Caenorhabditis elegans: one gene and its partners. The protein of the gene in region 1 purifies or fractionates together with the protein of each later gene. This does not show direct contact. Each region holds a gene or a part of one and is shown on either strand. Other genes may lie near its edges.

Region 1 (7,619 bases):
TTGAGACAGTTCGAAACCCTGATGGTAGCAATGTTGTTCGACAAAGAATAAAGTGGACAGCTTATCCAAAAGGAGCAAGAATTCCTGAACATGTTCCAGTACCTCCCGTGGCTCAACTTCCACCACTTCCACCAATGCAACAAGTGATTCAACCCATTTTGACCACTCAGGCAGTTTATACAACTGAGGAACCATACATTCCATTGATCACGACAGTGCCAACCCATGAAATTTCCCGTTTAAAACATGAAGAAATGCAAAGAAAGTACAAAGAAGATCTGGAAAAACGGCAGGAAGAGCAAAAGAGACAACAAGAAGAACATAAGAAAAAGATTCAAGAGTTGAAAGCTGCACAGCAAAGAGAACGTGAGAGAATGATGGTTGAAAGAGAAAAAGCTGAAAATGATAGAAGATTGAAATATGAAAATGAAATGAAGCAACGGGCTGAAGAGTACCAAGCAAGAATGAGATTAACCACGATACCAACTCCAACCACTACAGTTGAAACCACAACTGAATATGTTCACGTTCCATATCCAACTCTTCCTGTCAATGAAGTTGTATACGATGCACATATCAGAAAACCAATCCCAACAAGCAAGTCAATTGCCGAACCAGTTGAACACTTCAGGCCAATTATCGAAAATGTGACGCCTGCGTCTCTTAGTCTCGAAGATATAATTGCAATGGATAATCAAAGATCAGATTATGAAGATGAATATGATGTTCCAATGGACTTCCCAGATACGGAAGCACCACCATTGACAACAAGACCTCCACCAGTAACGGTTCGAAATACTCGACCACCTCCTCCACCACAAATACCACAACCAAGATCTCCGATTAATGGAGGAATGCCTTCAATTGTTCAACCACCTAGCAGTGGAAGTGAGTATTATTGTGAGAATTTCATTTTAAAAAATTCAAATATATTTCCAGAGAAATCGAAATTGTTCGCACCACCATCAAGTGAAGAGTACACTCAAGAAGTTGATTTTGATCCATACGTAGACTTTGTCAAATAAGAACTAAAAACTATTAAATTTAATTTCTAATCTTCTTGATACGTGTATATTTACATTTTCTAGGTTTGAAATTCTCTGAATTGAACATTTTGGAAAAAACTGTTATCGGGAAAGAAATCTTGAAATTTTAAAAATCTTACCTCTTTACTTTGTCCTTGAGGATCTTCATCTCTATCCTTTCCCGCTAGTATTCCTAGATTTTTTTTCCAATTTTTTTTCAAGTTTTGAGAAAGTTAATCCTAGGAGACCGTTCCAGATACATGGTGCCAGCGGCACGTTAATAATTCATTTTCCCAATTTTATTGATTTTTTCCAGAATAAATTCAATTTTTGTGATGATTTTATTAAAAAATATTTTTTTTTAATGTTCCCGCCTCTTTCTTTTCATTTCTGATAACACATACCACTTTTATCGTCATCGTCTCCACCGCCCTCCCTCAACAAAAAGAACTTTACAGCTTTTTGATTTATTGGCTCTTTGCGGTGGCTCCAATTGACAAGACGGCAGTCTGATGGTCACGGGATATTTGTTCTTGAATCTTCTGCTTCCTTCTTTATTTTTTCTTTACATTTATCTCATTTTTCAGATGAACTTGTTGTTTATTCTCTCATTAGTGAGCCTTGCTGCGGCGGGTGCTAGCAATTCAGTTAATACTTGGGGAGGTGTTATTCAATATGATGAAGATTGGGGATATGTTGATATTCGTACAAATGCTCATACTTTCTGGTGGCTTTATGCAGCAAAGCCTGCCAATTCTCAACGTCCACTCTTTCTCTGGTTGCAAGGAGGACCTGGATCATCTAGTTCCGGTTTTGGAAACTTTGAGGAAACTGGACCAAAGACGTTGAATGGATCTGACAATCCAGCTACTTGGGTACGATATTTTCTGTGATTGTTATTTTAAACACTGTATTTTTTTTTTGAAATCAAGATCTAAATTGAAATTTGAAAAGTTAAAAATTTAGCTTCAAGTTGCTGACATGGTCTACGTGGACAACCCCGTTGGTGCTGGTTTTTCCTATGTCGACGATAAATCTGCTTACACCACTGAAATCACTCAAATTGGAAAAGATTTGCTCGCGTGGCTTCGCAAATTCCTTGCTCTTCATCCAGAGTATCGTACTCGTCCGTTCTACATTTTCTGTGAAAGTTATGGAGGTAAAATGAGCGCTCAATTTGCTAAAGTCATAACTGATGTAAGTTTCGAGGTAACCATAAAAAAAACTAATTAACTGTAGTTGTTTAGTCTATCAAAGCTGGAAGTCTTCAACTCAACTTCCGCGCTGTTGCTCTCGGAGATTCATGGATTTCTGCAATGGATTATGTCAACACCTGGGGACCATATCTTTATGCTAATGTGAGTTCATATGATCATAGGACACTTTTATGTGTTCCATTCCCCAAAAAAATTTGTTTTGTTCTAGCAAATAACATTACTATTTAAATATTTACAGTAAGATTTAAAATGTGATAGTTATCACAAAAAAAATCCAAAAGCAAATCCGACTATCTCGAGACGTTTTTCTGAATATCGTAGAAACTTGTTTTTGAGACTTTGACAATCCACGAGAATTATTCAAAAAAATATAGTTACTTCAAACTGTTACGTCCTTTTACGTCACAGCTTTCAAAAGTCAAAGACGAATAGGGCTATTTCAGTCTTTTTGCTTCATCGGTTTGAGACTTTTTCATTTGTGATAGGCATAAAAAATTAAGACAGGAGACACTGAGAGCACTTTTTGAAATAATTTTTTTTCAACAACAAAAAAAAAGTTGTAATATAATATTGCAACATATTTCAAAGAATTGCCCCACTGATGATACTCTTTTTTAAAAACGTATGTGGCGTATAAATATACAAACCACGCATTCCGGGAAATTCATTAATACCCGAATAACTTGTGATGTAGACAAACGTGCATATGTTCTTATGGTTTCATTGTAACGACACAAAAATGAAAGTACGGTTCTGACCAACAAAAAGGTGACAATTCGTCAGTTTTTCCATGTTTTAATCCGCTTATCAAACACGTAGAAACCCCAAAATTTCAATTACGTTTTCAGTCTTTCCTTGATGACCATCAATTGAATACAGTTAATGCTGAAGCAGCAAGATGTCAAGCACTCGTGGATCAACAGAAATGGGAAAAAGCAACGAATTGTTGGGGAAATATGGAGAATTTGATAAGTGTTGAGACGAATGATGTCTCTTGGTATAATATTCTGAAGAAAGGAGATACTGATGACTGGAGTTCATCTGCAATGAGATCAAATAGAGTGATGACTTCAACTCGTAGATTGTATAATCGATTCGTTGCTCCACAGAATTTGGATTCTCTTTCAAATTACATGGATACAGTTGTTCGCAAGAAGTTGGGAATTATTCCGGATAAGGTGAAGTTCGGAGGACAAGCTGGAGACGTGTTCAGTTATCAACAAGGAGACTTTATGACACCAATTTGGAGTACTGTAGATCAGCTTCTAAAGGATGGATACAATGTGATTGTGTATAATGGAAATGAAGATTTAATTTGTAATACAATGGGAACTGCTGCATGGGTTAATCGGCTCACTTGGGACGGTGCTGCTACATTTAATTCAACAACTAGACATTCATTCAAAACTCAATCATTCCCATTGGCTGGATATTACAAGACTTACAAGAATTTGCAATTCTGGTGGATTCTCAGAGCAGGACATATGGTAAATTATTTTTAATTTTAGAAAACATTATTGGAATAATATTAATTTCAGGTTGCATATGATACCCCAGAATCTGCAATCTTCATGTTGAAGGCCGTGGTCAAGCAGTATAATGCATAGAACTTTCTCATTTTCTTTATTTATAAATGTATTCTTTCTCTCTGTATGATTTCAACCAATGTAAGCTGGACGTCTTCTCTTTTTATTAACCATTATTATCCGTTCACAAAACATGAGCGTGCACAAAAATGATTGCAAACTTTCTGAACCGAAAACTGTAAACAATTGAGAGATGATTAGAAATGAAAAGGTAAGTTTGGACGGGGATGAGAAGACATCGTGGACTGATGTATGAATGAAGGGAGAAGTTTATGAGACTGTTGGAAAAAAGGATAAATGACTTATCGTGGATAAAACGACAAATCGAGAAGGAAGAAATTGTGGTAAAAAATGAGGAAAAAGAGGAAAGAAAATTGGAATGCGTGCCTTTTTTGGAGGAAGAAACGAGTGTGATTCCTCCGACATTCTTTCTTGATTTTTTATCTGTGTATCTGAAAGTGTATCTGAAAGTGTATCTGAAAGTGTATCTGAAAGTGTATCTGAAAGTGTATCTGAAGTGTATCTGAAGTGTATCTGAAGTGTATCTGAAGTGTATCTGAAGTGTATCTGAAGTGTATCTGAAGTGTATCTGAAGTGTATCTGAAGTGTATCTGAAGTGTATCTGAAGTGTATCTGAAGTGTATCTGAAGTGTATCTGAAGTGTATCTCAAGTGTATCTCAAGGATAGAATATACTGTGAAGCCAGAGAGTAAAATATTCTGTGAAGCCAGAGAGTAAATTATGCTGTGAAGCCAGAGAGTAAAATATTCTGTGAAGCCAGAGAGTAAAATATTCTGTGAAGCCAGAGAGTAGAATATACTGTGAAGCCAGAGAGTAAAATACAGTGTGAAGCCAGAGAGTAAAATATACTGTGAAGCTAGAGAGTAAAATATTCTGTGAAGCCAGAGAGTAAAATACAGTGTGAAGCCAGAGAGTAAAATATACTGTGAAGCCAGACAGTAAAATATACTGTGAAGCCAGAGAGTAAAATATTCTGTGAAGCCAGAGAGTAAAATATTCTGTGAAGCCAGAGAGTAAAATATTCTGTGAAGCCAGAGAGTAAATTATGCTGTGAAGCCAGAGAGTAGAATATACTGTGAAGCCAGAGAGTAAAATACAGTGTGAAGCCAGAGAGTAAAATATACTGTGAAGCTAGAGAGTAAAATATTCTGTGAAGCCAGAGAGTAAAATACAGTGTGAAGCCAGAGAGTAAAATATACTGTGAAGCCAGAGAGTAAAATATACTGTGAAGCCAGAGAGTAAAATATTCTGTGAAGCCAGAGAGTAAAATATTCTGTGAAGCCAGAGAGTAAATTATGCTGTGAAGCCAGAGAGTAGAATATACTGTGAAGCCAGAGAGTAAAATACAGTGTGAAGCCAGAGAGTAAAATATACTGTGAAGCTAGAGAGTAAAATACAGTGTGAAGCTAGAGAGTAAAATACAGTGTGAAGCCAGAGAGTAAAATACAGTGTGAAGCCAGAGAGTAAAATATACTGTGAAGCCAGAGAGTAAAATATACTGTGAAGCCAGAGAGTAAAATATTCTGTGAAGCCAGAGAGTAAAATACAGTGTGAAGCCAGAGAGTAAAATATACTGTGAAGCCAGAGAGTAAAATACAGTGTGAAGCCAGAGAGTAGAATATACTGTGAAGCCAGAGAGTAAAATACAGTGTGAAGCCAGAGAGTAAAATATACTGTGAAGCTAGAGAGTAAAATATTCTGTGAAGCCAGAGAGTAAAATACAGTGTGAAGCCAGAGAGTAAAATATACTGTGAAGCCAGACAGTAAAATATACTGTGAAGCTAGAGAGTAAAATATACTGTGAAGCTAGAGAGTAAAATATACTGTGAAACCAGAGAGTAAAATATACTGTGAAGCTAGAGAGTAAAATACAGTGTGAAGCCAGAGAGTAAAATATACTGTGAAGCCAGAGAGTAAAATATACTGTGAAGCCAGAGAGTAAATGCAACTAAAAAAATGTTTTTAAATTATTGGAAAATCTAGTTTTCCTGATGGGAAAATTTTGCATTTTTTTGAAAATACTTGAGGCAAACTTTTATTTCTGCTAGATTGTGACTCTCTGAGATCCGCTCCACACTACGAAAAAAGCGTGGATCGCAGAGGCCGTCGAAGGCACCTTGCCGCGCCGCAATAAAAGCCGTACCTCAAAGGATTCACAAAATTGATGTTCACTCTCTGTAGGAGTTACTATGTCATTTAAAATATCAAAATGGCATGTAGAAGACACAAGAATTTTTCAGAAGTTTCATTTCAACAAGCCACAAGGAGAACTAAAGAAGGCCACAGAGAGTAGGACATAAAAAAAAGAGGATGGGGGGAGGGGGTTACAGTTCTCAAGTATTATCGTCTAGATCCATTAAAATTTGGAAAAGCTTCTCAATATGGACACAGCAAGTTCCAATTCTCATTTGATCCGTGGCTGAAAAAATCGTGTTGACCGCATGCATATCAATGATAGTTTGTTTGTCTCCTTGGAAGTAAGTTTTTGGATCATTCGACATCATTGTAGCTTTCACAACTTTGTGTGTCCCACATATCAGCTCCAAATCAGGATTCTGTCCAGAAAGGTGATTTTTTACGAAGAACAATGGATTGCAGATATTTTTGGCTTCTTCATCTCCTGCAAAGAATACAATTACCTTTCTGTTTCGGGGTTTCTCTCAAACTAACCTCCTGTCTGCACAGCCTTTTGAATGGCGGTGTAAAATCAATTTCAACAGATCTATACTTGATCAAAAATGATCTTTTGATCGAGTAAACCAAAGTAGTGATAAGTTCCTCTACCAGATCTTGGAAATCGTTTAAGTTAATATTGCACATTGAGATTTCTGCAGTTAACACCAACGGTTGTCGTTGAGAATTCCATTTGAAGACTCGTTCAATTCCTTGAGTGACTAGCATTCTGTTATAGAGTTCAGTCATTTTGCTGTATACATAATCAATGTTAATAGACTGTCTTTTGTTAAATGATTCCAAAGCGATCGGATTCATTATCACGCGATTGGTTTCCAGGAAGAGCAATTGATAAAGGTATTTCAGTGTTTCAATATGGAGTTTGCTGACAATCAAGGCATGTTCTCTGGCTTCATCGGTATTATTCAATTCTTCCAGATTCGGGAAATCAGCTTCGATTTCTTCAGCTTTGAATGAATCTCTCACTTGTTCGAGATTATTGCTTTTAGTCAATCTAGAAATAAAAATAATTGAATACACAGAAGACAGGATAAAGTGGGAAACAAACCCTTCAGCAGTCACTCGATACGATTCCTTCGTTGTTTACAATTCTTCCAAATCTAAATGAAAACCATTAGAAGAGAACTCTGATTTTTGTCTCACTGCTCGTAATAACGTTGTGCTTCAAACGCTTGGCCATCGAGAATTGCGTATTCGCGGTAAATGTGTTTCATTTTTGTACGGCCATTTTGATCTCTCAGTCGTTCCAAAAGGAATCTGATCAATTTTAGGTTGTCTTCCTTTGAAATTGTCATTTCGGGACTGAAAAAAATTGTGATCTTCCAAAGTGGAAACAATATCAATCCTGAGACTGAAAAAAACGTTCAAAAATAATATTACCGACACAAGAGACGTCAACGACGACAGAGTAGATGTTGTTGTGGACGATATAATCAAGAAATGACTAAAATACAACAGTTCATTTACGCATCGACTTCATAATGATGTGATGTTCACGTCGAGTATATATTAGTTTAAAAAATTGATTAAATATTTTATTAATATTATTTTTATTTGATACGTTTATTTGAACGTGA
Region 2 (7,552 bases), on another chromosome or scaffold:
AAAAAATTGGTACTGAAATTAATTTTCCGGAAATTTTTTGAAAAATCAAACAAAAAAAATTAAAAATTTCAAATTTTTTCCAGAAGTTTGAATTTTTTAATTCGAAAAAATATGGTTTTCGAATTTAAAAAATGAATATTTTCGAGATTTTTTGGAATTCTCAAATATAGGTAGGTTAAAACTTAAATTTAATCTATGAAAAGTTCGAATTAACATCGTAAATTCTACATTTTGAAAACACATAAAGAGCGAATTAAATATTTAAAATTCCAAAAAATAATTTTTTTTTTCTACAAATTCGACGATTCATTCTTCTTCTCCTCTCCACTACTACTGCCTCCAATCCACTTGAAAGTCTCAAAATGCGGATTCTCAACGACTCCATCCTTGCAAAGCTTCTTCAGCACGAGCTTCACATTGTTCAACGCAGCCAGTCGTACAGCCCACGGCGAGTCAGCATAAACCTGATTAGTCACATCCATACTGGTGATCTCCTCGTGCTCTTTGAGCACTTTGATAATCTCGCGTTCTCGTTTCATTCGGTGCTCGATGTACTCGTCAACCTTCTCCACGACCTTATCGATAACCGGACCATGACCCGGATAAATCCTTGTCGCATTGAGATCCTTGATCTTTTGCAGTGAAGTCATATAGTCATGAAGATCCTCGAAGACGGTAGTTCCCTCGCCGAGGATGCAGTCTCCACTGAACAATGCTCGTTCCTCTTGGAGCCACAGAGAGAAGTGATCGGCGGTGTGGCCTGGAGTGGCGATTAGTCTGGAAATTTAATGTTTAAAGATGGACTAGCTTAAAGGTGGTGTAGTCGAATTTTTTTTAATTTCTTTATTGGACTCAAAATTGTCTGAAAACACCGAATTTTTGTTTTTTGATCCCAGCCCTGAAACTGTGGTATTAACTGTAGTAGCATAGCTCTTTTTCAAAAAATTGAATTGCCATGAGAAATTTTTTTTTGGAAATTTCAAGATATATCAATTTAGCCTTTCTTCGAGTTATTTTAAAGGTGGTGTAGTCGAATTTTTTTTAATTTCTTTATTGGACTCAAAATTGTCTGAAAACACCGAATTTCATAATGAAACTTCTTGAAAACTTTTCAAAAAAAAGTTATGGCCTCTTGAAAAATGGCCTAAAATTAGTGAAAATTTGAAATTTGACCGACTTATCATTGTCGCAGCGGCTGGAAACAATTTTTTTTTGAAATTGTCGTCTAATTTTGGCTATACAGGTCGATTATCTTGCGTTTTCAGCTTTATTAAGGTATTTGAAAGTCGATGGACGAAGAGATTTGTCAAATTTTTTTCATCAATTCTCTTCGTCCATCGACTTTCAAATACCTTAATAAAGCTGAAAATGCAAGATAATCGACCTGTATACCCAAAATTAGACGACAATTTCAAAAAAAAATTGTTTCCAGCCGCTGCGACAATGATAAGTCGGTCAAATTTCAAATTTTCACTAATTTTAGGCCATTTTTCAAGAGGCCATAACTTTTTTTTGAAAAGTTTTCAAGAAGTTTCATTATGAAATTCGGTGTTTTCAGACAATTTTGAGTCCAATAAAGAAATTTAAAAAAATTCGACTACACCACTTTTAAAATAACTCGAAGAAAGGCTAAATTGATATATCTTGAAATTTCCAAAAAAAAATTTCTCATGGCAATTCAATTTTTTTGAAAAAGAGCTATGCTACTACAGTTAATACCACAGTTTCAGGGCTGGGATCAAAAAACAATAAGTGTTTCGTTTTGATTTTGGACCAAGAAAAATTGAAATTTGGGAAAAATCAAAAAAAAACCAACAAAAAATTTGATACTTGAATTAATTTTTTTACCGTGAAAAATGCATTTTTTTTTGGTTTTTCGGTCTTAAAAAAACAAACAAAAAAATCAATTTTTCGTTACAATGGCAAAAAAATTCAAAAAAAAATCCCAGCCTTGTACAATACCACTACAGTACCCCCTATAATAATACTATAGTGCAACTACAATATACCTACAGTACACGTACAAAATAGCTATAGTACCAGTACACTTACAGTACTACTGTACTACTGTACCCCTACAGTACTAATGCAGCACACCTTCGGAACTTCTACAGTACCTCCGTAGTACCACTACAGTACCCCTATAATACTACTACAATGTCCCTACATTACCCCTACAGTACTACTACTACTACAGTATTGCTACCATTACGGCACTACTGTACTAACACATTTTTTTGGAACAAACGTTCAAAAAATTTTGTATTCATAAATTCCTTTTTGAAAAAAAATATGGATCCTTTTTTTTTTTGAGAATTTCAACAAAAAACTGAGATTTCAAGGTATTTTTTGAGGAACATTAATTGTTAAGGTTTTTTCCTTATTATTTTCGGAGATTTTCGACAAAAATTAGGAATTTAAAAAATCGTCCCGGAAAAAAAAATAATATAGAAAATTTCAAAGGAATTTAAAATCAAAAATTCTTAAAAATAACAGATGGTAACTGAAATTGCATTTAATTTGAAATTTCAGAAAATTCCAATTTTTTCCAAATTTTCACAACAAAAAATCGATTTCTAGCAGTACCCCCTACAACACTACTCATTTAAAAAGACACAATTAATTTGTTTCTAGAAATACAGTACTACTACAGTACCCCAATATCACTACTTCAGTACCCACCCCTCCCAATATCACTACAGTACCCCTGAAGTACTCCTACAGTAACCCTATAATACTACTACAGTACAACCGAAATATACCTACAGTACCTCTACAAAACTCCTTCACTACCCATATAGTACTACTAGAGTGCCCCTACGGCACTATTACAGTACTCCTATAATATACCTACAGTAACCCTACACTATCACTATAGTACTACTAAAGGAGGACTAACGGTTCGAACGATTTTGAACGTATAGACCCAAATTGAGCTCAAATGAACGAATTTCGTAATGAAACTGCTCAAAACAATTTTCAAACATTTTTTATGGCGGTTCAAAATTTTGAAAAAATTACACTGATTTTACCTAAAATCATGAGTTTTTCCCATTTTTTCGTGTCACATCTGTCCGAAGTTGGATTTTTTGGAATTATCGTCCTTTATTGCATATATTGGCAATTAATCTCATTTAATTTCGTGGATTAAAGTACATTTAAAGCCGATAGGTAACCAATTTCGATGATTTTTGGTTACCTAACGGCTTTAAATGTACCTTAATCGACGAAATTAAATGAGATTAATTACCAATATATGTAATAAAGGACGATAATTCATTTTTTCAATTTTTTCAAAATTTTGAAACGCCATAAAAAATTTTTGAAAATTGTTTTGAGCAGTTTCATTACGAAATTCGTTCATTTGAGCTCATTTTGGGTCTATACGGTCAAAATCGTCCGAACCGTTAGTCCTCCTTAATGCTACAGTACATACCTACAGTGCACCTACAGCGGAACTACAGTATCCCTACAGTACTACTACGGTTTTTTTCTAATAAAACCAATTCTCTAATGATAAATGCTCACTTCAGCGTGGCTCCATCAACTGCAACCTCAAACCCATCGTCAACATAATGAAATCTCTCGACACCCTCATCCTTGTCCCGTTTCATTTTATAAATAGGTATCTTCTTTTTATCCAAAATCTCATCAGTAATATTATCGATTCCACCAACATGATCGCCATGCCAATGCGTAATAACGATATATTCAATGTGGGAATTCGTAGATGCGAGAACTGATTTCAGTGCCGAAATGTACTCGGTGACGTTCGGCTCACCAGTGTCCACGAGGATTTTTCTGAAAGAAAAAATTTGATTAGAAATTAAAAATTTTCAGAATATTGCTGCCTACTTTGCACCAGTGCCCAGTAGATATGTATTAGTTCCTTGAAGAGTGAAGGGGCCGGGATTGTGGCCGAGAATTCTGGTGACCGCGTCGGAGAGCTTCTCGATGGGCTCCACGTGAGTGAGGCTTGGCATGGCTCTGAAAAAAAGAATTTCGAGATTTTCAGAGAAGTTTTGAAAAAAGTGTAGTGCTTTATGCAAAATTTGTGATTTTTTTTGCAGAGTAAATTCGAAACTGCAATTGCCCGAAAATCAAAACCAGCGCTACATTAGTCAGTTAAAGAGATACTGTAGTTTTCGCAACGAGATATTTTGCGCGTCAATTATGTTGCGCAATAGATTTCAGTTTTAGTTTCGGTTATTTCGATATATTTTAAATAATTTAATTCTTTAATTCCTAAATCTAGTCATAATCTAGTCTAAATCTACTCCAATCAGTGTTGTTTTACGCAGCTAGCTGTCGATTTACGGAGACTTTTTTTTCAATTTTTGCCAACTTTTACAGGTTCTGATTGTTAATAAATGCACAATTTTTTTAAATAATACAAAACTTTACAACCAATTTGATTTAACTTTTTTTCCGGAAAAATTACTGAATTTCGAGACATTGTTTCAAATGGGAAACTATGAAGAATTAAAGAAAACCAACTGAAAAGTGATCGATAATCGTTCTGTGACTTGTTTCGTCTATCTCTCTCTCTCTTTCTAAATTTCCCTTATTTTCGGAACACTGTAGTCAGTTGGCTACACTTAAATGATGATGTTTGCCAATTTCTAGGTGTCAGCCAATGGAATTTTGCAATTTTGTGACTTGGGCGATAAGTCAGAATGTATTGATAATGCAATTGTATAGTACAATGCAATTTCTGGCAAATCGGCAAATTGCGGGAATTGAAAATTTCCGGCAAACCGGCAAATTGCCAGAATTGAAAATTTCCGGCAAAAAGGCAAATTGCCGGAATTGAAAATTTCCGGCAAATCGGCAAATTGCGGGAATTGAAATTTTCCGGCAAATCAGTATATTGCCAGAATTGAAAATTTCCGGCAAAAAGGCAAATTGCCGGAATTGAAAATTTCCGGCAAATCGGCAAATTGCGGGAATTGAAATTTTCCGGCAAATCAGTATATTGCCGGAATTGAAAATTTCCGGCAAACCGGCAAATTGCCGGAATTGAAAATTTCCGGCAAATCGGCAATTTACAATGTTTGTTAAAAATTTTTTAAAGCCCCCTAAAACTAATAAATATTCAAAAAAAAGTAGTCTTCTTAAAAAATTCAGAGAAAATTCAGAAAAAAAAATGTCTTTATTAGGGAACAAATTTTGGTATCATTGTAGGTTTACGCAGCTGGATGTCGATTTACGAGCGGAATTTTTTTTCAATTTTTCTCAGATTCATGAGAAACAATATCATACATCCTGGAAAATAGTTTTTTTTTAATCATGGCATTGTAGATTTACGCATCTCTGTGTCGATTTACGAGCACTGGTTTTTTTCAGAATTTAGGAATTAAATTATTTATTTAAAAATTGAATAATTTAAAAATATTATCAATTAACACAACAATTTCTAAAAGTCAGAAAAAACCTCGTAAATCGACACAAGCAGTCAGAATTCACCAAAAAATGAGCTCGTAAATCTACACTGGCATCCGAAATTTTGACTTGAATTTAAAAAATAACTGAACACAAGCTCGTAAATCGACACAAAAAGCCGGAATTTCTAATTTTCTACTATTCTCGTAAATCGACAGAAAACCGAAATTTCGAAAATTCAGGAAAAAGATCAAAAAAAAATTCGTGGAAAAATCCTGAAAAAGCTCGTACATCGACACAAAGAGGCAAAATTTACCAAAGAATTAATGAGCTAGTAAAACTACACAAAGAGCTGAAATTCCTAATTTTCTTTGTCATTCTCGTAAATCGGCACAAAACCGAAATTATGAAAATTCAAAAAAAAAATCGTCGAGAAAGCCTGGAAAAGCTCGTAAATCGACACAAAAAGCCGAAATTTTGAAAAAAAAAACTTTCGCGCCAAGACCCCGAATTACAAACCAACCTATGTGCCTTTGAATTAACCAAATAGGCAACACCGGCGTATGCGAAATCCGTATAAAAACGAAGCATCGTCCAGGCTCGTCCAACGTACGCCGTCATCGTGTTCTGAATTACGAGATACTCATCTATGTTTCCGCCCCCGCCTCTGGGTGATTCAGAAATATAGGTCATTAGGTCGTTTTAGGACCAATTTTCATGGAAAATCGATCGGATAGAGAAAAATGGATTAAAAATGGTAGAAATTTAATTAAAATTTCAAAAAAAAACATTAACAATGGTGACAGGAGAGGATTGACGATATTAAATTAAAATAGTTTTTAAAAATTGGGAGCTGAGGAAAAAAAAGAAAAAAATATTCAAAACAAAAAAAAACTAAAAACTAGGTAATGATAAAAAGTCGCTGGAAATCGATTTTTATGGAAATTTGGATAAAAATTGGAAATTTTAGGATTTTTCCGAAAAATTTCGAGAATTTTAACAAAAATAGGATTTTTTGGAGAAAAAATTCAGTTTTTTTTCCAAAATTTTGAGAATTTTTGCAAAAATCTGGGAGTTTTAATCAAAAAGTTGAAATTTTTTCTATTTTTCCAAAATTTTTGAGAATTTTCGCTAAAATCTGAAATTTTTAATTAAAATTTTTATTTTTTTCAGTTTTTTTGGGATTCTCAAAAAAATGTTCGATAAAAAAATCGAATTTTTAGAATTTTCACGATTTTTCAAAATTTTTGACTTTTTCTGTAAAATCGGGAATTTTTAATTAAAAAGTTCAAACAATTTTCTGTTTAGCTGAATTTTTTGGATAAAAAATTTAATTTTTAGAATTTCCAGGATTTACCAATTTTATCGGGAATTTCAACAAAACGCTATAATTTTAAGAAACTTTTCTATAATTTTTTTTTGAAATTCCGGAAATTTCAGTATTTTTGACTGAAAAAGTTTTTAAAAAAATTACTAAAAACTAAAATTTCTGAATTTTTCTAAATTTTCCAAAATTTTTCAACTATTCGCAAAAAAATCGATTTCCAGGCGAAAAAAAAACAAACTAAACAATTTTACAAATATAAGGGGAGTAAAATGAGAAAATGTGGCTAGACTGTAGCATTTGATAACAACAGAAACGAACAAATCGGTATTATGGGGAAAAAAAGTCAAGTGTTAGACGGTAGAAAAATGAAATTTTGAGCAAAAATGTGGGTCCCGCAACGATTTGTGAGGGGGGGGGGGGGGATACTGTAGTTTGACCTAATTCATCGTGAAAATGGTGTGCTGAATGCCGAAATTCATTTTGAAATTTGTGAGAATTTTGAGCTCCGTCTGAAGTCGTTCGATTTTCAACTGTACTGCCTGACTGTACTCGCGGCTTTCCGATTGTGAACGAATTTCGTGCTCTTTTGTGCTGAAAATAGGAAGGTAGAATTGAGAATTTAAAAAAAAAAATATTTTTGAAAAAATGTTTTCAAAAATTTCAAAAAAACATTTTTTGTTGGAATTTTTACTAATTTGAGAGAAATTCGGAATTTTTTATAAAGCTCATTTCTTCCCGCAATTTAATATTGGTTTTACCAAGAAAAGTAAGTATAAATTGCAATTTTTGAAAATTGGCGAAAAAATAATTTGTAAATTTTTTTAGAACTTCAGATTTTCCAGA
Region 3 (7,504 bases), on another chromosome or scaffold:
TGGGAGAACGGGAGGACGAGGACCATCTTTAAACACATTTTTTAAAACTAAAATCGAGTGTATAAAAACACATTGTGTACAACAAAATTCAAAATTTACTTGCCTAACGTCACAACTTTGCAAAAAATTGTCAATTTGTTTTCATTATTACAATGGACGACGTAGAGAATTGTATAAATCAACGGTTGCAAAAAAACAAAAACTCTTGTTTTCACCGGTTAATCCTATTAATTGAACTTGAATTCTTTTTTTTGAATCATTGTGATAATGGAATCTTACGCTATCAAACTGCCAGAAATGTGAAAATTTCTAGGAAATGATTTTGATTGCATTTTAAAAAGGGCCTAGAAGATTTTGAGATTTTTTTCTGGGATTTCTCAAAAAACCAAACAGATTTCACTGACAAAAGATAAGAATCTGGACAAGACAAGGACACTTTTTTCCAATAAGCTTTTCAATACATATAGCACACAAACAGATTTGATATTTCAGATGACGAATGAAACACTCAAATGTTGATCTTTATTCAAACGATTTTTGATAAATTGTGATTTTGAAAATTTGGGGTCCTTTTTTGGATGGTGTACAGGCAGTCGAAAAGCTGGTAAAGTTACTCTTTTTTTCTAGAAACAGTTAATTTCATTTCATAAAAGGAACAAAGAGAGGTTGGGAAGAAGGTGGGGGGGGGGGGGGGAGAGGAGGAGAAAAGATGAAGAAGCGGCGAGAGCATGAGAGAGGTGTGAAGAGAAACGGGACGGGAAATGAGACGATGAATATTCGATTCTTTCACTTTTTTTTTCTTTTTGTTTGGTTTTTGTTCGGGTCGACGTTTCAGTATGCAATGACCGCGGATGTTAATTACAATTTGAATGCATAGAGAAATATTATAAAATTAGGAAATAAAATAAAAATAGTTGGGTAGAAATGAATGAGTTGAATGAGTAGCGTCAAAGATATAGCGTTCAGACTTTTGTGATACGACGTGGACCGGCGCGTGGTGGAGCTGGACGGGAGAACTGTTTGGGGGCTTCAACCGGGAGGGGGTGAATGACTTCGAGCAGTGCTTTCTCCGAAAGATCGTCGCGAGCATCTACCTCCATCTGCAATATTTAATTTGAAAGAGGGAAACATGATTAAAGAACTAGAGAAGTAAACTTCAAGTTTAAAAAAAATTATATTTTATCCAACATCGTTTTTTAACCTTTTTAAAAAAATTTTTTCTCTAATTTTGAACATTTTGTTACTCCGTTTTTGCAGAAACTGAATTTTCAGCATCAATTTTTTTACAGCTAAAAATGCTCACCTTATTCGTAATGACAACTCCGTATTGATTCTGAGCAGCGCTGAGGAATGGCCCCTTACAACTTGAGTAGAGCATTCTTTCTTTAATTGAGCTTCCAGATGATGGCAACGAGTAGATAAACACTGCAATTATTTTTTTATTTTTAAACATTACTTTTAATTTTAACTCTATTTTTCAATTTGGTAGTACATAGCTCAATTGCCGTTGTTTTCGAATTTTTTTAAAAATTTCACTAACAAACAAAACATTTTTCGTTACTTTTGAAAAATCACATTTCAAAAATATAAGCTTCATGTGAAAATAAAACGGGGTATATGAAAGTGGTGCACATGTACTTTCAAACATTTGGAAAACGGTTATTTTTCATATAAGTTATGTAGAATTTATAAATTAAAATTTGTTCACGACTAAAAATTGAGCTAAATTATAAACTGCCGAAGTGAGAAATTTTAGAGTACATAAATGAACTAATTAAAATTAAATCTTTAAAAAAATCCTAAAAACCAAATAACATGCTTGATCGTATACATTTTCAATATTTTATCTGCCAAATAGCTGATTGAAATAGAGTATTTATTTTCGTTCATTTTTCTGCATTTTGTCAATTTTTTGCATAAACTTTGTAGGCTAGTCTCGGACTGGTTGAGAGAAAAAAGCGTCTGCCCCAATTTTAGGATTAAGATTATTGGTGACAGACGCGGAAGTTTTGAGTTTAAGTAAATGTTTTTTCCTAATTCCACAATTTTAATTTTTATATAGACTACATTCTTTTTAAGTGTAAAATGAAAAAAAAAAACGACTCACAAGTACATTGTTGCGGAACACCTTCCCACGTGTGATCAAAATTGTAGAAGGTGTATCGTGGCTTGTCACGTGGCACTTTTGATGCAAGCTGCGATGGTTCCAATGATTCGAGGGTTCCCTCCAATTTGATGGCTTCATTGAGGGTATCGACCTGGAAAAATTTGATAATCCACAATTTATTGCAGTTTGAATATTATAATTTTAATCGGTGTTCCGGTTTTAGAAATATACGCGTTGAAAATATAGGTTAAGTGTTTACATTGTTATTTGACAGTTCTAAATATCAAATTAGTGAGTATCGAGAATATTGAAAACTAACGTATTTTGGAACACTATGCGTTTTTTTTTTTGAAAAAATTGTTCAAATAAATGCAAATTGAGAACAATTGTAAACATTATTCAGCATAAAAAAAATTCGTAAAATTTAATTAATGTTTTTCATTGTTTTTCTATAATATGTAGTCTCTCTATTAAGATTTGACTTTAGTGTTCTTTTTCAAATGTATAAAAGCTTACCGAGAGCTGAACAAAACTGAGCTTCTGGCTAGCCAACTGCCGGAGGGCTTCCTCAGCATTACGATCCACTGGGAACGCGACACCCTGCAATATTATTGAAACTGAATATCATCAAAACTTATTTCCTATACCTTCATATGTTGTGGTCCGGCATGTGCAATTGCAGCTCTTTCTTGCTGAGCATTGTGGAGCTCCCGTTCAACTTCACTCATTGGTCCTAACTCGGTTTTTGCCTTGAGCCACGCCTCGAACGCGTTCAGCGTGAGATCCTGAAATTAATTTTTTTTCCTTTTTTTTCTTAGCAAGTTTCTTCACAGGCTGATTCCCAATAACTCTCCACGAACCTTCAGATCAGTGACGTGTTTTTCGTGCTCAATGTAACACTGTCCGAATTCGCTTTTGAATGTAGCACATGTGGCGGCCAGAAGCATCTTTTCACGGACTGGAGCACGATCGTCGACAAACCTATAAAAACAAAAACTATATATTTTCATTGTGCACTGCAGAATGGAAACATGTGTTGGAAGTCAATCAAATAGAGTGAAGTAGGAAATTATAGGGAATTGTTTTTTTTTTTGACAATTGAAGTAACTACGGTGTAAGCAGGACCGTGTGTGGAAAAGTTATTATTTTCAGTTTTTTTTTCGTTACGGTACAAAGGAGGATAGGTTTCTAAATTCGAACAAGACTTTTCAAAAATGAGTTCTAAATTTTGAAAAAAAAAACATTTGCTTAGTCTTGTATATAACCATATCACAATTTTAAAACGGATGCTAGTCCAAAGCTATAACTTCTAAATGCTTTCTTCCTGGTACCTGGTGTACGGGCAAAAATATTCCTGCTGCACAGCAATAAACTTTTTAAGCTTTTTAAAACAAAAGCCTATGAAAGTTTTTTAGGCTGTTATCAGGTTGTACTTATAAAATTTAACTCGACTTTCACCAAAAATCTGGCAGATTTTGTTCAGAAGCTAGAACGTATGCTGATTGGAAACAAATTTCAAGACTGGTGCAACAACATTTTTACATTTTAACAAATAGTTAAATATAACTATTTGTTAAAATCTTTAAGTGGTTCAATTCATGACAACTATATGATTTTTTGATTAAAAAAAAACTTACGTGATCAAAACCCATTCTGTGATGGTATTCAACCGGAACAGAATGAAGCACGGCTCGTAGGCATCCACACAGTCCGGCAAGCAAGCCCTCCAGTCGTCACGCCAGTTGGCGGTTCCAGCAAACTCGTAGTTCGGCGTCATCTCCTCATTATTCACCACAATCTTGATGAGCCTCAGTTTCGCCTGTTTTCCCAAGTTGAGTGCATTTCGAAGTGCCGCGTTAGCTGCAAAACGTCGTCTTCTCGTCATTTCTTTCTTTCTACTACCCCCCACGCCAATGCTTCTTTTTTTTTCCCAAATGTCCCCTTCCTTTTTGTATGAGCCTTTGGCTGCTCCCAAAAGAATTGATGTTGTATAGTTTGGAAGAGAAGTGTGTCTGGGACTGCTGGGTAGCCTGTGTTTTAGTTTTAGTGCTCAGTCACTAGGAAGAAGTCATTAGAGATAATCTTAAAAATAACTGAATTTAAAAAAGTACATCCAAATCATCCCACTTCATCTTTTTTTATGAAACAGTGGCCCACTGGGGTGCGGTGTGCTCTGTGGGTGCGCGGAGCAGGTGATAGACACTATTTGCGGGAAATGAATGAACATGATGGAGAATGAGGACTCTTTCAGTTTGTTTTCGCGGGGTGGACGTGCTGCCTCCGACTGTATGCGCGCACTATTTCCCGCATGCTGGCAGGTTTTCATTATTAACGGAATGCACCACTCTCTCCACAAACGGTCGGGGGGCTACGCCGGGATTTGGAATTGTTGGGGCGAGGATGGGGGGATGAAATCAAAAGCTCCTTTTACCTCCTTCTCCCCTCTTCCCCCCCCCCCCCATATCCATTGTCAACATTGAAAGGCAGTGCAACGCGTGTGTAATATTATCCTCTCCCGATGAACCCCTCATCCTTATATCACAGGCGGATCATTGTTCTGAATTTGAACCTTTCCATCGGCCCCCGGGTTTCCCTTGAAAGATGCAAAATAGGTGGGGGGGGGGGAGAAAGGATGAAGAATTTGTGCGTCAAGGTTATATGCGTAAACGCCAAAAGATGGGGTGTTCACTTTACTAAGACCTTCTTTTTTTTCGAATCTTTTGAGGACGATGGGAAAATAATCCTGGAATAAAGGGGGGGGGGGGTACTATGGAGGAAAATTTGAATCGGAATTGACATGAAAAGTGCCGGGTTGGAGAAGGAACTACTTTCGAAAAACAATTGTTATAGTGGAAATTGTTTGGAAACTAGGAGTGTGTCAGATTATCTCAAGAAAAATAGTTTCAAAGAAACTCTTCAAAAAATTAGATTATTCACTTCTTAAAGGAAGTTGAAAGTTACGGTCCGGGTTGCTTTTCTAATTGGAGATATTTTTTACCGTGTAGCTGTGACTTAAACATTAGTTCAAGCCCAAAAACTGAATTTTGATGTTCTCACGTTTTCCAATGATCATTTTATTCAAATAATTCGCCAAAAAATTACAACATTAAATAGACTTATATAGATAAATAATACGGTTATCAAAATTTATATAACGTTCTATCAAATATAGTTTTTCTTCCAAAAAATTACGTCTTATAAAAATGCCGAATACCTTGCACAGAACTGCTATCGACAGCTGGCTCAGCGTCGCCAACCATTGCAGAAAAGAAAAGTGAAGTTTGGGTGGTAAACCTCATATTTGGTATGAAACGGTACTATTTGGATAGTGAGCGAACAAAAAACTAGTTGAAACTCAAATATTGAGTCAACACCCACTTAACCCCCCTTATAAACCACTAACCTCTGATTCCAGTTTGGCACGCCATAGTAGTAGCTTCTTCTCCTCTTCCGGGAAAAAAAATAAATGTATATGTATATTTATAACAACGGGTTGAAGAGAGCAGCTAATATTGCGCGCAACACAACGCAAAACCAACGCACTAGTGCCCCCCATCGCCTTCGCCCCTCTTTTTCTCAATTTCTCTGCCAACCTCTCTTCCCCTCCCTCCTTTATTCCTCCGTCTCCATCTTCCTTCCCATCCAAATGTTCGGCTGCCCGTGCACACTATCTCTCAAAACCTCATGCTATTTTACAAACTGCCCGTCACGTCTGGCAACCCTCATCCTCTATTGTGCAGAAAACGTCAGGCCTCGTCTCGTTTGCCTTAACGTGATGGTGCCCGCTTGTTGGAGTCTCTCTCTCTCTCTCTTTCCTTCTGTCCTTCTCCCGGAAAAGAAGGAATAGAGGAAGATGAACAGAAATCGTGTGGAGACGGCCTATTAACACTTTTCTAGACCTCTGAACCTTACATTTTTTCACTGTAATTGAAACATCTTCTCGATGACAAAACATGAAAAAGAGAAAGTTTAAGTGTATGTTTTTGCGGCAGGCTTGCGTGTCGGTCTCTAAGTTTCTGTATGTGTGTGTGTGTGTGTGTGTCAGTCGGTGTAATAATTCGGAAATTCGAAACTGAACCAAGAATCGAAGATGACGGAACATATGTGCTGTGCATTACGTTACTTGTGACCGCGGTGAGGTTTTCGAAACGCAATTACGTGTGCTGTGATAAATGTCAAACAGACTTCAAGCACGTTCTTTTGAAAATTTGCAGTGCAAACAGAACAGTGGGATGTTTTGAAAAGAAATGCATTAGATAAGAAAGTGTTATTCTGGAATTAATATTTTTGTATGAAAAAAGCATAGAAATGTTTAGGTCTACTGAATATTATAGACTGTATATAGAACAAAGATGCTTCTTGCTTCAATTTCATAGCTGAAAATTTTTTGCCAAGTAGTACATAGTGATAAGGAATATATCTTACCAATTTGAAGCTTCATCCTAAATTAAATAAACTAACTACTTAATAAGAATTACAGCAAAATGTTCAGAATGCTAAATTTTGAAATAAACTGTAAAGCAACTACATGTCTATACCAATATGCAGAATGTGTCTGAAACTAAAATTAATTATTATAGAATTTTCTTTTAGTTCACAAGTTTCCATTTCTAATATTGTTCTGGATTTTGGTAAATTGGCCATGTTTTTACTATTAGTATATGTATTAAAAATTCTCTCAAAGGCAGTTAACATACTTTTTTTTAAAAGTTAATATATTGCCATTCCAAGGTTAGTAGTGATAAGGAACACATCTTACCAAGTTGATGTTTCATTTTGCATTAAACTAATTAACTAATTAATATAATAAACCTAATCAATTAATTTTCAATGAATTTAATTCTAAAAAAAATAAAATGGGTTGAATAGTTGATTTTAGGAAAAACATGGTAAAATAGTTGATTTTAGGATAAAGCTTATTGTGAGTAAAATCAATTCCCTGCCACTATTTACTAAAAATTAGGTGAACAACTAATAATTTATTATTTTCAATTCGACCGTATAAACCTATATTTATTAAAAGTTGAGACTTTATTTGAAATTTCAAAAACTTTATATTACTTCGGTTTCATGTTTTTCAATTTTAACTTTCAATTATAATTAGGTACACCTGGATTTCTTATCCGGCACTGTTTTTTATTAAAGCCCAAAAGAATCACAGATTGAAGTATTGAGGCACCAAATTAGAAGACAACCAAAAATTCTCAAGAAAACATTAAAAATAGTTGTTGCTATCAGAATATGTATTTTTATTAATTTCATGTTTCTTTTAAAATTAACTCTATAAAAATCTGTCTTGCCTAGACTGCCATCAAACATAAGAACTGTTCCTATTTGGATCAAAACTCAAAGAATGTTCCTATGCCGCTTTACCACATCACTGAACAAACAGACGGC
Region 4 (3,494 bases), on another chromosome or scaffold:
GGTTTTTGAGTTAAAAAAAAACGAAAAAATCGTAATTTTTGAGGCGAAAATACGGTACCCGGTCTCGACATGACTATCTTTGTTAAACACAGAAAGGTGTACTCCTTTAAAGGAGTACTGTAGTTTGAAACTTTTGGTGCAGCGGAATTTTCATCGATTTTTTGCAGTTTTACTCGCGATTTGCTAAATAATATTTATGTGTGTTTTTTTTTATAATTGACCAGCCGGTGTCGTTCGAGCCTACGGCTCGACCTACTCCGACTGGCTTAAAATAAAGTTCGAAAAAAAAAATAAATGAATGAACTTGATTTTTTTTTTGAAAATGAAAACTTTCAAACTAACGTGAATTTTGCGTGTTGGCATAGCCTACATTGGACGGTAGGAAACTCTACTTTATATTTTTTTATAATTGATACACCTATTTTTAAGAAAAATATGAGAAACAATGAAAATTGTGCAACAACAGAAGTTTGAGACTACAGTACTCTTTAAAGGCGCACACCTTTTTGCAATTAACAACAAATTGTCGTGTCGAGACCGGATACCGTATTTTGCCACAAAAATGACAAACCTTCGGGTCGCGGTATTAGTTTCTCCCATGGTATTAAAAATTTCATTTTTCAGTTTCTCAAAAATTGAGCGGATTTAAAATCGAAGAAATATACCGTAGTATTTAAAGGCGCACGCTTTTTTTGAGGCATTAAACAAATTATCTGGCGTGTCGAGACCAAATGTAGCTGAATAAGTTTTACTATTTTATAAATTCAAATTTCAATGAATAATTTCAAAAGAAAAACATTTCCTTCACGTTTTCTTTTTTATCGAGAAAAAACCATGCCATAAAAACTCTTTTCAACATTTAAATTTTTTCGAATCAGTTTCAAAAATCGATTTTTCGAAGTGATCTGAACATTTTTCATTAAAAGGAGTTTTGGCGCGTAAGTTTTATTCTTTAAACTTTTTATTTAAACGAAAATTTAATTTTCCACCGATTATTGTTGAAATTTAGGAGTTTTACATTGTAAATGCCAATTGTCTTTCCATTATGTTTCGTCTCTACTTAAAATTTGTGATATTTGTCGAATTTTGCATGCCTTTAATTGTTATTTAAAGCTTAAGCGTATTTTCTCCATTCCGCACGGAAAGCGCGCCTTTCATCCTTACTGACGCATTTCCCGACGCTGGCGCACTTCTCGACCATCTGCCACTTTGGACACGTCAGCGCTTTCCGGATTCACTTTAAATGAAGCTTTCCTGGTCCCGAATCGCCGATTTTCAGAATTAGAATTTTTTGATTATCACACTGCGTCTCTTTTCTCTTTTCGGGTACACGTGGAAGCGCGTGTCGTTTTGTCTCTGTGTAGCACGCTACACAGAATGTCTCCGCCTCGTTATTTTCTCTCTTTTCCTCTTTTCTCACCCCCATTTAACCACTAAAAGTTCCCACTTTTGATCTATTTCAGTTCATTCATTTATTCTCTAAAAAATGCCTGATTTACCCGATTTTTAAGTGATTTAATTAATAAATTAATTGCATAATTTTCCAGATTCAATATGTCGTTTTTATGGGACTGGTTTAATGGAGTGCTCAACATGCTGGGTTTGTAAAACTGAATTTTACCATCATAAAACCTTTTATTTACAGGATTGGCCAACAAAAAGGGAAAATTGGTATTTTTGGGACTAGACAACGCTGGAAAGACTACACTGCTTCACATGCTTAAAGATGATCGTATTGCTCAACACGTTCCCACTCTTCACCCAAGTAATTATCGCTTTTTATTGATTTTAAAAGCAATTCCGGTGTAGTTCAGCCTGTTAAAGGAAGGAATCTTACTTTAAAAAAATGATATCTTTCTCTTCTTTACAGCTGATTGACCGGTTTTGCTTATCATCTGTCAATTGCTAAAGATGATGACGCAAAAAACTAGTTGTGAGAATTATTGAATTGATTATTTTTCAGCATCTGAGCAAATGTCACTCGGAGGAATTTCGTTTACCACATACGATCTCGGTGGTCACGCGCAAGGTATTCACTCGTTTTTTCGGTTTTTTAAACTAATTTTCTTCATTTTTCCAGCACGACGAGTCTGGAAAGATTACTTCCCTGCCGTGGACGCCGTCGTCTTCTTGATCGATGTGGCCGACGCCGAAAGAATGCAAGAAAGCCGTGTTGAGCTCGAATCGCTGCTCCAGGACGAGCAGATCGCTTCCGTTCCAGTGCTTATTCTCGGAAACAAGATTGACAAGCCAGGAGCATTGAGTGAGGATCAGCTCAAGTGGCAACTCAACATTCAACATATGTGCACCGGAAAGGGTTGGTTTTTGATTGGAAATTATCGCTTGAATTTATTTAAAAAACGAAAATCTTTATAGGAGACGTTTCCCGCAACGAAATGGCTTCTCGGCCGATGGAAGTGTTCATGTGCTCTGTTCTTCAGCGACAAGGATACGGAGAAGGAATCCGTTGGCTTGGACAGTACCTGTAAACAGATCAGTTCTTGAACTCTTCTTCTTCTGCTCACTCCTTTTTTATTCCATTCTCGAAAAAAGCACCATTCTCTTACATATTGCGCCGCCAACATTTCCCATAGATTTGTTGTACGTACTTGTCATTTTCCTTCGTTTTTTCTTTTGGGATCCTTGGGATCCTCATCATTAAACTTCTCATGCCTTCGACGTTTGTGCATAAAAAAGCAAGCCGCAATCCCATTTTATTTTATTTATAAATTTTGACTTATACGGACTTGTAAAAAATTCACGGCGTCCTCATTGTTTTTCTATTCTCCACAAAAATTTATTCAAACCTTTTCCTCATCTATTCCGTATTTATCACATCACTATCATTCAAACATCCCCATTTTTCTTCTCGTCCCACTTCATTTCCCCCTCAGATTTTCTAATTTTTTATTTCGGTTAGTTCTATGTGAATGAAACAGCTTCGGAATGTTGCAGTTCGAAGTTTTCCCAGAAATTATTCTCTTATCACGCTACTCACAAGAAAAAAAACGTCACGCCATATAGTTGTTTTCTTTGTGGCGAGCTTTAACTATAGTTATAACTGAAACTGAAAAACTTGGAATTTGAAAAGAAAATTGTTGATCGGAGTACATTTGATCACAAGGGCCTGTAGTCAGGCGACATGGTCAAACATTCCATTATGTGGTTTGTGTTCCAAGTGGTCAAACGGACACATTTCTATTTCAGGTGCGGAAAAAAAATTAATTTCAGATCAGATAATTGGCTATTTTTCCAGAAGAACCTTTTCGTCGTAGTCTCACAGATGGCTTCTGCAGTACATTTGAGTGCACACAGCTCACTCCAATTCTCTATTCCTCCACTCTCTCGACGCAATGGTGTTCGTGTGCACCCACTACGAATATCCAATAATCAGGGAAGGGAACCTCCTTTATTCATAGAATTTTAAATAAATATTTTGAATTTATCATCATCTATATTTTACTTGTAAACTCTATTAAAATAGTTTTATCGTC

Evidence for each region.
Region 2: the proteins of Y32F6A.5 (region 1) and Y53F4B.39 fractionate together in Caenorhabditis elegans (co-fractionation; one large-scale study listed by BioGRID). This does not show direct contact.
Region 3: the proteins of Y32F6A.5 (region 1) and twf-2 fractionate together in Caenorhabditis elegans (co-fractionation; one large-scale study listed by BioGRID). This does not show direct contact.
Region 4: the proteins of Y32F6A.5 (region 1) and sar-1 fractionate together in Caenorhabditis elegans (co-fractionation; one large-scale study listed by BioGRID). This does not show direct contact.

Annotation. Positions count from the first base shown.
Region 1 is NC_003283.11:10,447,599-10,455,217, reverse strand, and holds the start of Y32F6A.5 (Retinoid-inducible serine carboxypeptidase), read left to right. Parts: upstream 1-1,612; coding exon 1,613-1,900; intron 1,901-1,991; coding exon 1,992-2,222; intron 2,223-2,272; coding exon 2,273-2,383; intron 2,384-3,090; coding exon 3,091-3,729; intron 3,730-3,780; coding exon of another isoform or gene 3,781-3,849; exon of another isoform or gene 3,850-3,883; intron 3,884-6,180; coding exon of another isoform or gene 6,181-6,469; intron 6,470-6,519; coding exon of another isoform or gene 6,520-7,036; intron 7,037-7,090; coding exon of another isoform or gene 7,091-7,142; intron 7,143-7,185; coding exon of another isoform or gene 7,186-7,337; intron 7,338-7,619. Other genes in the region: F22E12.1 (BPTI/Kunitz inhibitor domain-containing protein), read left to right, coding at 1-888, 940-1,025.
Region 2 is NC_003280.10:15,108,603-15,116,154, reverse strand, and holds the start of Y53F4B.39 (Beta-lactamase-like protein 2 homolog), read right to left. Parts: upstream 6,012-7,552; 5' UTR 6,004-6,011; coding exon 5,906-6,003; intron 3,988-5,905; coding exon 3,856-3,987; intron 3,802-3,855; coding exon 3,529-3,801; intron 778-3,528; coding exon 291-777; 3' UTR 1-290. Other genes in the region: wshc-4 (HEPN_LA2681 domain-containing protein), read right to left, coding at 7,147-7,300.
Region 3 is NC_003284.9:16,444,349-16,451,852, reverse strand, and holds twf-2 (Twinfilin), read right to left. Parts: upstream 5,657-7,504; 5' UTR 5,536-5,656; coding exon 5,511-5,535; intron 3,968-5,510; coding exon 3,745-3,967; intron 3,089-3,744; coding exon 2,968-3,088; intron 2,893-2,967; coding exon 2,755-2,892; intron 2,708-2,754; coding exon 2,624-2,707; intron 2,259-2,623; coding exon 2,108-2,258; intron 1,426-2,107; coding exon 1,304-1,425; intron 1,101-1,303; coding exon 963-1,100; 3' UTR 834-962; intron 642-833; 3' UTR 517-641; downstream 1-516.
Region 4 is NC_003282.8:4,511,373-4,514,866, reverse strand, and holds sar-1 (Small COPII coat GTPase SAR1), read left to right. Parts: upstream 1-1,547; 5' UTR 1,548-1,554; coding exon 1,555-1,600; intron 1,601-1,645; coding exon 1,646-1,765; intron 1,766-1,963; coding exon 1,964-2,029; intron 2,030-2,080; coding exon 2,081-2,317; intron 2,318-2,376; coding exon 2,377-2,489; 3' UTR 2,490-2,974; downstream 2,975-3,494. Other genes in the region: ZK180.8 (uncharacterized protein), read left to right, coding at 3,284-3,427. UniProt on the Caenorhabditis elegans protein: Small GTPase that cycles between an active GTP-bound and an inactive GDP-bound state and mainly functions in vesicle-mediated endoplasmic reticulum (ER) to Golgi transport.